Linked DNA regions of Nothobranchius furzeri. The main gene of each other region encodes a partner of the protein of the gene in region 3 in a complex. Links are inferred from orthologs where the notes say so. Each region holds a gene or a part of one and is shown on either strand. Other genes may lie near its edges.

The links.
Region 1: the proteins of acad9 (region 3) and ecsit are in contact, whole or in part, in a cryo-EM structure (PDB 8PHE), measured with the Homo sapiens proteins. The link is inferred for Nothobranchius furzeri from reciprocal best matches to the Homo sapiens genes ACAD9 and ECSIT. Residues at the interface, in NP_054768.2 of Homo sapiens: Leu180, Thr181, Asp188, Ala189, Ala190, Ser191, Ile192, Lys228, Lys239, Asp240, Lys241, Ile242, Phe293, Ala296, Met297, Leu300, Ile431, Met434, Tyr435, Leu438, Thr439, Leu441, Gln442, Gly445, Thr449, Leu516, Gly520, Lys521, Ile523, Met524; in NP_057665.2 of Homo sapiens: Pro321, Glu322, Glu323, Trp324, Asn325, Leu326, Tyr327, Tyr328, Pro329, Met330, Leu332, Asp333, Leu334.
Region 2: acad9 (region 3) and tmem186 share a complex: the UniProt entries of both Homo sapiens proteins name them as parts of the mitochondrial complex. The link is inferred for Nothobranchius furzeri from reciprocal best matches to the Homo sapiens genes ACAD9 and TMEM186.

Annotation. Positions count from the first base shown.
Region 1 is NC_091743.1:88,487,438-88,492,413, reverse strand, and holds the start of ecsit (evolutionarily conserved signaling intermediate in Toll pathway, mitochondrial), read right to left. Parts: upstream 3,504-4,976; 5' UTR 3,388-3,503; intron 3,242-3,387; 5' UTR 3,216-3,241; coding exon 3,126-3,215; intron 1-3,125.
Region 2 is NC_091744.1:5,452,519-5,456,664, forward strand, and holds tmem186 (transmembrane protein 186), read right to left. Parts: upstream 2,561-4,146; 5' UTR 2,298-2,560; coding exon 2,295-2,297; intron 2,016-2,294; coding exon 1,350-2,015; 3' UTR 1,204-1,349; downstream 1-1,203. Other genes in the region: gde1 (glycerophosphodiester phosphodiesterase 1), read left to right, coding at 3,013-3,282, 3,939-4,114. UniProt on the Homo sapiens protein: As part of the MCIA complex, required for efficient assembly of the mitochondrial complex I.
Region 3 is NC_091743.1:6,044,845-6,049,390, reverse strand, and holds part of acad9 (complex I assembly factor ACAD9, mitochondrial), read right to left. Parts: intron 4,271-4,546; coding exon 4,200-4,270; intron 4,118-4,199; coding exon 3,998-4,117; intron 3,916-3,997; coding exon 3,787-3,915; intron 2,520-3,786; coding exon 2,440-2,519; intron 1-2,439. UniProt on the Homo sapiens protein: As part of the MCIA complex, primarily participates in the assembly of the mitochondrial complex I and therefore plays a role in oxidative phosphorylation.

The DNA.
Region 1 (4,976 bases), about 82 Mb from region 3:
TCCCTTTAGTTATGCTGTATGGGTTTAGACTGCTGGAGGACATACTGAGTTACCCTGGCTCATCCCTTTAGTTATGCTGTATGGGTTTAGACTGCTGGAGGACATACTGGGTAACCCTGGCTCATCCCTTTAGCTATGCTGTATGGGTTTAGGCTGCTGGAGGACATACTGAGTTACCCTGGCTCATCCCTTTAGTTATGCTGTATGGGTTTCGACTGCTGGAGGAAGTACTGGGTAACCCTGGCTCATCCCTTTAGTTATGCTGTATGGGTTTAGACTGCTGGAGGACATACTGAGTTACCCTGGCTCATCCATTTAGTTATGCTGTATGGGTTTAGACTGCTGGAGGACATACTGAGTTACCCTGGCTCATCCCTTTAGTTATGCTGTATGGGTTTAGACTGCTGGAGGACATACTGGGTAACCCTGGCTCATCCCTTTAGTTATGCTGTATGGGTTTAGGCTGCTGGAGGACATACTGAGTTACCCTGGCTCATCCCTTTAGTTATGCTGTATGGGTTTAGGCTGCTGGAGGACATACTGAGTTACCCTGGCTCATCCCTTTAGTTATGCTGTATGGGTTTAGACTGCTGGAGGACATACTGGGTAACCCTGGCTCATCCCTTTAGTTATGCTGTATGGGTTTAGACTGCTGGAGGACATACTGAGTTACCCTGGCTCATCCCTTTAGTTATGCTGTATGGGTTTAGACTGCTGGAGGACATACTGGGTTACCCTGGCTCATCCCTTTAGTTATGCTGTATGGGTTTAGACTGCTGGAGGACATACTGGGTAACCCTGGCTCATCCCTTTAGCTATGCTGTATGGGTTTAGGCTGCTGGAGGACATACTGAGTTACCCTGGCTCATCCCTTTAGTTATGCTGTATGGGTTTCGACTGCTGGAGGAAGTACTGGGTAACCCTGGCTCATCCCTTTAGTTATGCTGTATGGGTTTAGACTGCTGGAGGACATACTGAGTTACCCTGGCTCATCCCTTTAGTTATGCTGTATGGGTTTAGACTGCTGGAGGACATACTGAGTTACCCTGGCTCATCCCTTTAGTTATGCTGTATGGGTTTAGACTGCTGGAGGACATACTGGGTAACCCTGGCTCATCCCTTTAGCTATGCTGTATGGGTTTAGACTGCTGGAGGACATACTGAGTTACCCTGGCTCATCCCTTTAGTTATGCTGTATGGGTTTAGACTGCTGAAGGACATACTGAGTTACCCTGGCTCATCCCTTTAGTTATGCTGTATGGGTTTAGGCTGCTGGAGGACATACTGGGTAACCCTGGCTCATCCCTTTAGTTATGCTGTATGGGTTTAGACTGCTGGAGGACATACTGGGTAACCCTGGCTCATCCCTTTAGTTATGCTGTATGGGTTTAGACTGCTGGAGGACATACTGAGTTACCCTGGCTCATCCCTTTAGTTATGCTGTATGGGTTTAGGCTGCTGGAGGACATACTGGGTAACCCTGGCTCATCCCTTTAGTTATGCTGTATGGGTTTAGACTGCTGAAGGACATACTGAGTTACCCTGGCTCATCCCTTTAGTTATGCTGTATGGGTTTAGGCTGCTGGAGGACATACTGAGTTACCCTGGCTCATCCCTTTAGTTATGCTGTATGGGTTTAGACTGCTGGAGGACATACTGGGTAACCCTGGCTCATCCCTTTAGCTATGCTGTATGGGTTTAGACTGCTGGAGGACATACTGAGTTACCCTGGCTCATCCCTTTAGTTATGCTGTATGGGTTTAGGCTGCTGGAGGACATACTGAGTTACCCTGGCTCATCCCTTTAGTTATGCTGTATGGGTTTAGACTGCTGGAGGACATACTGGGTAACCCTGGCTCATCCCTTTAGTTATGCTGTATGGGTTTAGACTGCTGGAGGACATACTGGGTAACCCTGGCTCATCCCTTTAGTTATGCTGTATGGGTTTAGACTGCTGGAGGACATACTGGGTAACCCTGGCTCATCCCTTTAGTTATGCTGTATGGGTTTAGACTGCTGGAGGACATACTGGGTAACCCTGGCTCATCCCTTTAGTTATGCTGTATGGGTTTAGACTGCTGGAGGACATACTGAGTTACCCTGGCTCATCCCTTTAGTTATGCTGTATGGGTTTAGACTGCTGGAGGACATACTGAGTTACCCTGGCTCATCCCTTTAGTTATGCTGTATGGCTTTAGACTGCTGGAAATACTGGGTAACCCTGGCTCATCCCTTTAGCTATGCTGTATGGGTTTAGGCTGCTGGAGGACATACTGGGTAACCCTGGCTCATCCCTTTAGCTATGCTGTATGGGTTTAGGCTGCTGGAGGACATACTGGGTAACCCTGGCTCATCCCTTTAGTTATGCTGTATGGGTTTAGGCTGCTGGAGGACATACTGGGTAACCCTGGCTCATCCCTTTAGTTATGCTGTATGGGTTTAGGCTGCTGGAGGACATACTGGGTAACCCTGGCTCATCCCTTTAGTTATGCTGTATGGGTTTAGGCTGCTGGAGGACGTACTGAGTTACCCTGGCTCATCCCTTTAGTTATGCTGTATGGGTTTAGGCTGCTGGAGGATGTACTGGGTAACCCTGGCTCATCCCTTTAGTTATGCTGTATGGGTTTAGGCTGCTGGAGGATGTACTGGGTAACCCTGGCTCATCCCTTTAGCTATGCTGTATGGGTTTAGGCTGCTGGAGGACATACTGAGTTACCCTGGCTCATCCCTTTAGTTATGCTGTATGGGTTTAGATTGCTGGAGGATGTACTGGGTAACCCTGGCTCATCCCTTTAGTTATGCTGTATGGGTTTAGACTGCTGGAGGACATACTGGGTAACCCTGGCTCATCCCTTTAGTTATGCTGTATGGGTTTAGACTGCTGGAGGATGTACTGGGTAACCCTGGCTCATCCCTTTAGTTATGCTGTATGGGTTTAGGCTGCTGGAGGACATACTGGGTAACCCTGGCTCATCCCTTTAGTTATGCTGTATGGGTTTAGACTGCTGGAGGACAACATCTCACTCTGTTGACCTCGCATACTGAGGACACGCTAAAACCCGTAGGGGTTTGTTCCCGGGCCAGGTGTGCTCGTGTTTACGACACTGCCTGGTTAAAAAGCTCACCTGGTGCTGACGGTGGTTCTGGTTGGTCTGACCGGAGGCTGGTCTACCGGACCGGAGCAGCAGCGGCAGGAGGCTGCGGGAACACCTCATCGTTGCGCTTTCCGACTAGCTCACAGCTAACAGGACGAGACAACCAGGTGGGCACTTAGGTTTCAGGTAAAATGACATCATCGTTACATTTATGTATGCTGTAGCAGACAGCTAGTGTCGCGCGCTGCCTGAACCGGATGTTCCTCTAACAACAGCAGGCTGAAAAACTCACTGTGAATTCAGTCTCCTTCAAAACTCGTCTCTGTGCTCGCCTCCATGTTAGAAAGCCGCGAGAACGTCCTGTTTCTACACCGAAATACTTCCCCTTGAACAGCGGGAACATTTACCGAGATAATCGTTCCGCTTGGCTTTTTTTTTTTCTTCTGACTCATTTTCGTCTAAAACTCAAGTATTTAATATGAAAATAAAAATGTGCTGCGGAGGCTAATTCATAACAAAAACTATTAAAACTGTAATCATGAAAGGCTAAAATAAAGACTGGTTTTACAGCATCACAAAAGGAATACGTGTTTTTATCATTTAAAGGAGCGACTGTTAGGAATCAGAACAAGCACACCACACAGACTACAGATTATTCATGAAAAACTGACAAGACAACATCAGTGTAGGGGCGACGGTGGCACAGGAGTTAGGTGCTCACCCGTAACCGGAAGGTTGCAGGTTCAAGCCCCGCTCAGTTTGTTGCTGCTGTTGTGTCCTTGGGCAAGACACTCAACTCACCTGCTGCTGTTGCTGGTGGTGGTCGGAGGGACCGGTGGCGCCTGTGCTCAGCAGCCTCACCTCTGTCAGCGTGCCCCAGGGCAGCTGTAGCTCATCACCACCAGGGTGTGAATGTGTGTGTGTGAATGGGTGAATGACTGATTGTGTTGTAAAGCGCCTTGGGGGGTTCCATCACTGTAGAAGGTGCTATATCAAACACAGGCCGTTTATGATTTAAAGACTATGACCTCTGGTTTCCTCCCACCTACCAAAAACATGCATGTTAGGTCAGAGTTGTTGTTTGTCTGTGTCGTGTGTGTGTCCCTGTGACGGAACAGAGACTTCTAGAATGGAAGATCCATTAACTCAAAGACAACAGCAGTCACAGTCAGTTTTATTGTCAATTCTACCACATGTGCAAGACATACAGAGAAATGAAATTGAGTTTTAGTACACACAATTCAGAGATCAGACATACATGGGCAAGACACATGACAAGAATTAGTGACTGTGGTCATTCGCAACACGAGTCGTGCTACCTTAAAAGATGAAAAGGGAATTACATGAGGATAAATTGGGGGAGGGGAAAAAAGGCACACCAGAGTTACTCCCGGCAGGGCGTAGCTTTACTATGCAAAAAAAAAAAAAACGCCTCAAACATATAAGCACGAACATCACAGTTCACAACATGAGACTCCGATGGGGGGGGGGGGGGGGCTGGGATCCTGTTTCCCCAGGGCGAGCAGCCCTGTGTGGCGCTCAGCCAGCTGTATCCACAGGAGGGAGGGAGATCTTGGAGAAGCGCAGAGCACATTTGAGTTCCTGCAGGTTGATGACCTCACTAGAAGTCCACAATCTGAAGGGGGGGGGGGGGGACGGGTTTTCACAACATCTGTTTGCATTCCTTCCTTCATGGGGGTTGTTGTCAGCAGCTCAAGGCTGCCTTGGCGTCAGATTTGGATAACAAGACTTTGTTTGGGTCAGGCTGAGATAATTTTCCTCTCTGCCTTGAAGTCTGTATTGATCATTCAAGTCCTCCAGTTAAGCCAGTTCAGGTTTTAATCATCCCCACACCGTCCGGTGACCCTCTCTGAGATAACA
Region 2 (4,146 bases), on a different chromosome or scaffold from region 3:
AAGCATGGTTGCCCTGGCAACATAACATTAATTGTAAAATAAACACAACACATATTCGATGATTATACATTTACAATTATGTTTACACCTCTTTATCATTTATTTAATTCAATCTTCAGATCTTTTTTGTGTTTAAATCCATAAAATTCCAAACATCTTTAGTCATTTTTATCTTTCAGTTCTATTTTTTTTTCGTTTGTAATTTAATTTGAACATTTATTGTCACTTTTCTGCTGTCTTGACCTTCATTGTAGCTATTTTGTAAATTTGTAACAGTTGGTTTTCAGGGGTTGTTTTGTTTTAAAATTCTGTCAGTTAACCATCTTTTCAAACATTCTCATTTATATCTCTTGGTGGATTTTGTCTCATTTACTAAAGATGCAAAAGTTTTGTTTCATTTTAGTAATTTTCCCTGGACATTTCTTGCTGTTAGCTCTTATTCTCTTTTGGCTATTTTGTTTCTATGGGATCTACTGACTCTTGGTATAATCACTAAATGCTCCAAAGGCCTGCCAAAAGGTTTTAACAACATACAAGATGATATGAGAAACAGGAAATAATTGACCCTCGTGTTTGATAAAAGCTTATTACCAGTGCATTTTAAATCTGCAGCATAATTTTGCTTTATTTTTTTGACTGAGTTGCAATGGAAAAGTGTTTCTGATGAGTTTGGAGAAAATTTCCTATACAGGAAACTCAAATGCATGGATTTTATCTTGTAATTATTTGAATGTTTATTGGAAGAACTGATTAGATGTTTTTGTCTAAAGATGTATGTTACAAATAGCTGAAAATGTTTTAATTGAAAATGCCTCACTGCAGTGTCTCTGATATTTGTAATTTGTCAACTTAAATTTTTTATAACTTGTGTACGAGACCATAATCAGTCTGCTTCACAATATTAGTTTTTTTATCTGTAACATATAGAATTCTATTAAGAAACCCAAAAAATTATAGATTTTCCAAATAAAATTTATCAATAGTCACATTTCCATGCAGGATGATCAGGTTGGAAGAAAACTCAACTGCAGGATTCCTCTAAAACTCCAGGGGGGTTTTATGACCACATTCAGACCTCTAATGGACCAATAAGATCAACAGTAAAGGGAATAGATCCACTCTGCAGAGCCATCAGATATTAAACACATCAAAACATTTACCTGTCCGACTCACCTGGCCAGGTAAAGAGGCTAGAGTCAGACACTCATTAGTCACATTTATTTAAATCAAGAAATGAAAACATTGAAATTGAATCATTTATTTCAAAACAGGATATTTTTGTATATTTGTTGGATCTTATTACAATACTTGAAAGCAGTGATTTAGTTGATCACATTTTGAATGAAGAATTATTTTAGCCTCCCAAACACTCTCTCAAAGCCCTGCTTGTCAACAACGCGTCCGTAATAAGTAGAAAAATACATTGTCTCTGGACTACTGTATCTCTTCAGTTTCAGTATGGTCTCATTCTCCATGTCTCCTGTGTCCCAGATGGTCAAAACGTCTGACACGGGTAGGTAGGTGTCTTGACGCTTGCCCCAAAAAGTGAGGTGAGAAACTTTGAGTGTGGTCTGGGATGGATCCAGGTACATCATCCCCACAACCCTTCTAAAGAAGTGACTCATAGTATACAGCATGACACCAGCAAACAGTGCAATCCCCGTAGAGTAGCATACTAGAAAGAAGGACACGTCACCCTGGAAGTAAAGGAAATACATGGGTGGAATGATGACCGCAGTGATTGCAGTTTGGAGCAGTTTGAGCCTGGACACGACTCTGAGAAGCTTAATGTGTGGCAGCGTGTAAATCATAGAGAATTTCTGCGTGGATAGGTCTGAGTATCTGACGGAGGTTGTGATTTTAGGAGTGAGGGGTCCATGGGAGGTCTGATGGATGGGTGTATGACCTGAAAAATGAGACTGTAAACCATTAGACACTCGTCCAGAGAGTAAACATGATCCTCTTGTGCAGGACAGGGTGTGGTGGGTTAATCTGCTCAGCAACATCGACCTGATCTGTGGGGGAAAAAAAACATTAAATACGACATTCAGTCAGGCAATATGCAGTCACCTAATTGAGCCAAATATTAACAGCAGAATAAAGTCTCGATCTGTTTTACATTAAAACTGTTAACCCTTATTCAGAATGAGGTCAAATTAATCTCCTAGCTGAATCAAATCAAGCTCAAGGGCATTTCGCGGGTAGGATTGTTTGATCTATTTGATCCACCAATTCCTTTGAATTTGATAACACTGTAATAACAGTAATATTAATAGTCTCACTATGATGCTCACCATGGCCAACGACTGGTTAATTCACAGGTAAAGTCAAAAATAGTCCCAAGTCCACTTTTGGCATGAAGACGTCCAGCTTTGTGACCCGGATGTTACAACCGTGTGTTCCTAAAGATCTCGTTTACTCTCCTCACATTAGAAACATTAGTAAAGTATACATTTTAATTTAAAAAATGTATGAAATTGTTCACACTGAATAAGAGCTGCAAACGGCATGTAGCGAACCTATTTAGAACCACATCCGGGGATGCGCCGAGATGTGTTTCGGTCCGTCGAAAAATGTTTTCCCCACTTAATGAAATATATTTCAAGCCTCCGAGATATGTTCTCCAGCAAAGTGGGATTTACAGTTGTTTTAGTGTAGAAGAATAAATGTCATTGAATGTGTGATTCGTGAAATAACGAGTTAGTTTTATTGGTTTACTTTGACAAAGGTCGCGCCTGTTTTACGTAACATCCGGTCACAGCCGTTACGACGTGCCACCTGAAATGTTGTCCTCCCGTTTGGTCGTTCAGCGGCTCAACCGTCCTAGCAGTTTCTAGCTTTCTCCGGCTTAGATGTGGTTTAATGCTCCACTTAATAGCTGCTGTCAGAATATAACACGGAGCATGGATGTGTGTGAAACATCGCGTTTTTAACCAAGAAAAATAGCTTAACAGGAAAGAAAATGTCAAACTGAAGAAAATCTGCGCTCGTGAACCCAAGAAGTCGTCTACAATGCTTCAGCTGGGAGATGAAGTCACCCTCTACTCACTTGTCCTCGTGGTGGTCCTGCTGGGGACGCGGAGTCCGGTGTGGTCGGCTGTCCTCACCGCTTCCCTCTACTTCTTTCTAGCCATGTTTCGGTTCCCGCAGGTGACGACCAGCCGAGCCCGGCAGGTGTTGCATCCAGACTCCCGTGCAGTGGGCAGCGGTAAGGTGTCTGTGATCGCTCACCGGGGCGGAGGACACGACGCACCGGAGAACACAATAGCAGCCATACGGGAGGTGAGAAGGGACACTGGGGAGGGAAGACGTTAAACCGTTAACCTTCACACGACCTAGAGCGGCTGTTTCTTCTAATGGCGAGATTTAGTTAGTCATTGATTAAAAATGTAATACCTCCACTTTAATACACATTTGTGTAACACCCGCAGATCAGCCCCCAAGATGTTACATGAAGTGAGTCTGACCAACCAGCATTAATGTGGGCAATGAAGCACAGAATCGGATCGCTTCAAAAATAGATAATTTATTAAAGATTGCAAAAGCTAAAAGTCCAAATAAAAGCTCGGTCTGTGCAGGTTGTGCCTACAAAACAGGGCAGGGAGACCAGTTCAAATCCAGGGGGAAGTTGAATTGTCTTCACCAAACCAACATGTATGAAGGTAGTGACGATGACTTGAGCTTCCCCCAATCGGCCCAGTGCTGCACCCACACAATTTACACACACTCACACACACACACACAGTGTGATACAGCTCTCCCAGGTTACATTTGCACTATCTAACCATTTAAGGAGATTGAAATCTAAACGTGCTTATTTTCAAATGAACTAAACCAAAGTGTGTACGACACACGTCAAAATGTTTATAATGTGATATTTTAATGCATCTACTTTTTTGGCTCACGGTGACTTGGTTCTCCAATGCTTTTACCTGCAGGCCAGTAAGAATGGTGCAACTGGTGTGGAGTTAGACCTGGAGTTCTCCGCTGATGGGGTCCCAATACTGATGCACGATGAGACTGTGGATCGGACCACCAATGGGTCGGGACGTCTCAGCCAGATCAAATTTTCAGAGCTCAGGAAGCTGGATGCAGCTGCAAAACATCGGCTCAGGTGAGAAACAGCAAATTGCTGAGTTAGCAAAG
Region 3 (4,546 bases):
TGCTTACGCCAATATCATACACAAAAAATGCTGAACACTAACTAGAAATTCATGAAAATTGAAATAAAATAATCTTATTTATTGGGTCTTTGGTAATTTTAGACCTTTGGAAATTGTATTTAAGGATTATTTGTCATTTTTAAGGATTTTTAAGGCCTTAAATTTGGAAAAGCTAATTTAAGACTTTTTAAGGACCCGCGGATACCCTGCTAACTCTTAAGATTATAAATTCTGCTTTGCTGTTGTCTAGCAGTACTGTGTGTGTGTGTGTGTGTGTGTGTGTGTGTGTGTGTGTGTGTGTGTGTGTGCATGCGTGCATGTGCGCTCCTCACAGCAGTGAGAGACAGAGAAAAACAGCTTCAGTCAGAGGGTCGCTAGCTCCATGCATCCAGAATGATAATGAATCGCACATGCAGGAAGCCCCGGCAGACTGATCCTATTTACCAATCCGAGGCTCCCGTATTGCTACGCATGATTTTGAGCCAGACAATCAGTCAGCAGCATGCGTGCTGGACCAGTTTAGCTCCAGGCAGACTGCCTCAGGAAGAGGGCTGAAAAGACATCCGGTTGCGTGCGGGAAAATCCAAGGCTATCTAAATGAGAACACTTCCAAACTGGTCCAGGCGGAGGTGAGGTGATCCTCTCTTTCCAGTCAGTTCACGAGTCTCCAGAAGAACAAAAACATGAATGCAAGTCAACGGGGCTAAAAGAGCTATTTTTAAATCTGCTTTCCCTTAAGCCCTGAATCGCACATATGTTGTACTTAAATTTAAATGAAAAGTAATGTGTATTTCAACCACGCCAGTCACGTACTTTGAGATTTATCGGCTTGTAAAAATTCATAATTAGCATGTCTACAAATCAATCGTTGGTACGTCGCATATATGAAGTCACCACAAAATCTCCTCTCCCCTAGCGTAGCTGCCACATGACCAGATTTATGATGGTTATTTCTCCCCGAAAGCAGGGTTTGAATTTCGCTGAACTTACAACCATAATGGACATTCATGTCAACCAGGTAGTTAAGACCTGTTATTACCACCTGAGGCGTCTCTCTAAAGTTAAGCCCATTTTAAAAAGGCGTCATCTTCATTCAGTTGTCCATGCATTTATTGCTTCCCGTCTCGACTACTCTAACTCAGTGCTGTACGGTATCTCCTCCTCCACTCTCGCTCGACTTCAGCTTGTGCAGAACGCAGCAGCTCGTTTCTTGACTGGCACCAGGCAGCGGGAACACATCACTCCGGTTTTAGCAAATCTCCATTGGCTCCCCATCCATCTCCGGATAGAGTTTAAGATCCTGGTTTTTGTGTTTAAATCCCTAAATAACTTAGCACCTGGCTACTTGTCTGAGCTCATTCACCCATATGTCCCTACAAGATCTCTCCGCTCAGCTGACCAACACCTCCTACATGTCCCTAGCTCTCGCTGTAAGTCCCGCGGGGAGCGCGCCTTTTCAGTTTGTGCACCGAAGCTCTGGAACCACTTGCCCCTCCCGATCAGACTCTCTTCCTCTCTTTCCCTTTTTAAGTCTCGTTTAAAAACTCACTTTTATTCTCTGGCTTTTAATTCTGTCTAACTTATTCCCTTTCTACCTTTCCTTTTAGGGTTGGATTACTTGATTTTAATGGATTTAGTTTTTATTTTTGATTGTTTTTATTGTGTGTTTTGTTCAGCACTTTGGTCGGCTCTCATGCCGTGTTTAAATGTGCTATATAAATAAAATTGGTATGGTATGGTATAATGACCTTCTTTGTGTCTGGTTCGATGACGTCATATTGGTGATGCGCATTTGTAGTCCTGGTTGCATTTTCACAGAAAACCTAAAATAATGTTTCCCCTTGTTCGAAAATAAGCAATAATTTTTAATTCTTCTGGTGACCCATGTTCCGGAAGTAGACAGGCGTGACTTAGGCTCCCTATAAGACTCCAAATCATGCCGTCTGAAGCTTACCTCTGAGGTGGCTTACTTCTAGTTCCTGAAACAGGCACATCTGAGCTTATTTCCCCCCAAAGTACAACTTATAAGGCATTCATTCCTACTAGAGACCACTGCACGTGTATTTAAACATGAGTACAGTTGACCTTGAAAGAGTAAGTCATCCCCAAATGAACTTTTCTTTGCTGATAAACTGTATAAATAAGTCAATGTCTAATAGAGCTGTAGACACTTGTAGTCATTATTTTTGTGTTTTAGTTAATCTTAAGAATTTAGATTTTCTGCCTAAAACCGTCAAGAGTGACTTGTTACTCCAGAGTTTTTCAGCTGGCATCTGACAAAACTACCACTACATATCCCTGTGACTGTAATGTGCCAACCCGCTACAACGAGTTCTCCCACTAGAAAAGTTGTAAAAGAAAACCACCCAAACTGTGCAGAATAGAGCCGAGCCAAGTCAAGCCACAATGAGTAGTGGAAAAGGCCTTATAGACACATACTTTACTTTCCTAGTGAGGACATTCCCAGCATGCTGCATTCCAGTCAGAGCAATGTACATCCTCAGGATCTCATTGGTTCCCTGGACACAAACAATACATTCAGAACAATTTTTTCTCTCAAGGATGGGCTCAACAAAACTTTTATCAGCACATTTGGTAGGATAGTTTTAGGGGTAATTTCATTCAAAGGTTGTGCTTCACTGAGAAAAACTATCACAGACTAACTTTTGAAGTTATAGTCCTGCTAAAGGGTACAGTGTTTTCCTTCTATTGGCTTTACCCTGGCGCTGTGTAACAGATATAATGGGTTTGTGTCACTTTAAGACTTTGTTGGTTGCAAAGGAATGATGTCATAATCCAGCAACAACCTTTTATCCTGGGTGTTTCTCAATGCCTTGCCTTGATATCTTGGCCCCGCCCCAGTTGCCTAGGAGATACGTCATCGGGAGCCGCCAACACGTGTTCCAATTTTCATGTTCTACTGAGGGGTGTGTTCTCCGTTTGTTAGCCGTTTAGCTAGCTGAGCGAGGATACACGGGAGGTGTCTTCTTGTAGCCTAGCCTTGGTCAAAAATCACCCATAACACACCGCAGTATTTTCAAAAGGACGGCGGATCAGAAGCCGGCAGCGACTTTGGGGGCAAATTTCAAGTTTAAAAGTAACGGTTGGATCTAAAATGACGACTTTAGTCGTCATTGGCAGTGAGTGAGTTAATTGTTGGCGTGGACTTTATGACTCTCAATTCATTGACAACACATGTACCCTCCAGAACTGTTATCATGGGCGACAATCCCTCATGTTCCTTCTTTACAATGTAAGTTTGCGTCTTATGTGCATTGCAGCCCCCCCCCACCCCCCACCCCCGTTTCTCACAACTCTGGACCTCGCTCGAGGTTACTGGCAGGTGCCCATTGCCAGTGATGCTAAATCAAAAACAATTCCCCATGCCGCTGCCTTTTTTGTGAAGATCTCTATGTTCTTTTGTAGAAGTTTTCTAATGCTCTGGGATATGATGCTGCAAGTATGAACTTTTCCTTCTCGTTTGCTCGACAATGTACTGGGAAGCATCCTGTCTGCTCATTGGTCAATCAATGAAACCTTCACTGATTGGTCCTTGTCCGAGCGACAGCAACGAAAAGTTGTCATTTTTCTTCATTCTGGGATCACGTCGCTGGCTCGCCTATGCACGACACATGCACAAGTGCAAAAGAAAATCTGAGTGGTGGCTGCAACTCAGTTTCCATATAATTTCTGTTGAAAACATTTAAGTTTCACCAGTACATTAGAAAAAAATGTCTTTTAGCTGCTAGAACATTCCAATGTGGATCTCACTAGTTTATCCAGTACCTCAAAGATGGGCAGGATGCGACAGTCCCTGAGGTAGCGCTCAAATGGATAGTTCTTGGTATAACCCAGCCCTCCCAGAACCTGCAGAGCTTCACTGCAGCAGACCCAGCCTCCCTCGGAGCTGAACACCTGCAGAGGACAGACAAGACACTGTAAGAACAGTTGTCTCACACTAGTTTCATATGAAGATAAAATATCAAAGCAATCTAACCTTCACCATGGCAGCCTCGAGGGAACACTCTGGTACTCCTGGTCTGTCCATCATCCCAGCTGTCAGGTATGCCATGCTTTCCATCACAAAGGCATTAATGGCCATCAGTGCAAACTTCTCCTACAGGATCAAAACAAACTCTTCACACATTTCTAACACAACCATTCACTGAACACATTCCACTCAGAGGTAACTCCCCTACCTGGATCAAACCAAACTCACTCAGACTTCTATTAAACTGTTTCCTGGTTGCAGCGTATTCTGAAGTCAGCTCTGTGGAAAAACAGTTGTTACTAGCCTGCAGCCATGATCATTCACTAAGTTATCAAAGTCAACATTCAGCAAGTCCTACCAATCTTGAGAGATTAAAGATCAACATCACTCAAATTTTAACACATTTGCAGAGGTCTCTAGTAGGAATGAATGCCTTACAAGTCCTACTCTGAAGAAAAGACTCAGGTGCCCTGTTTGAGGTAGGGGTGGGTGATATGGGAAAAAAATCATATCACAATTTTGTTTTAGAAAAATCATTATCACGATTTTATCACG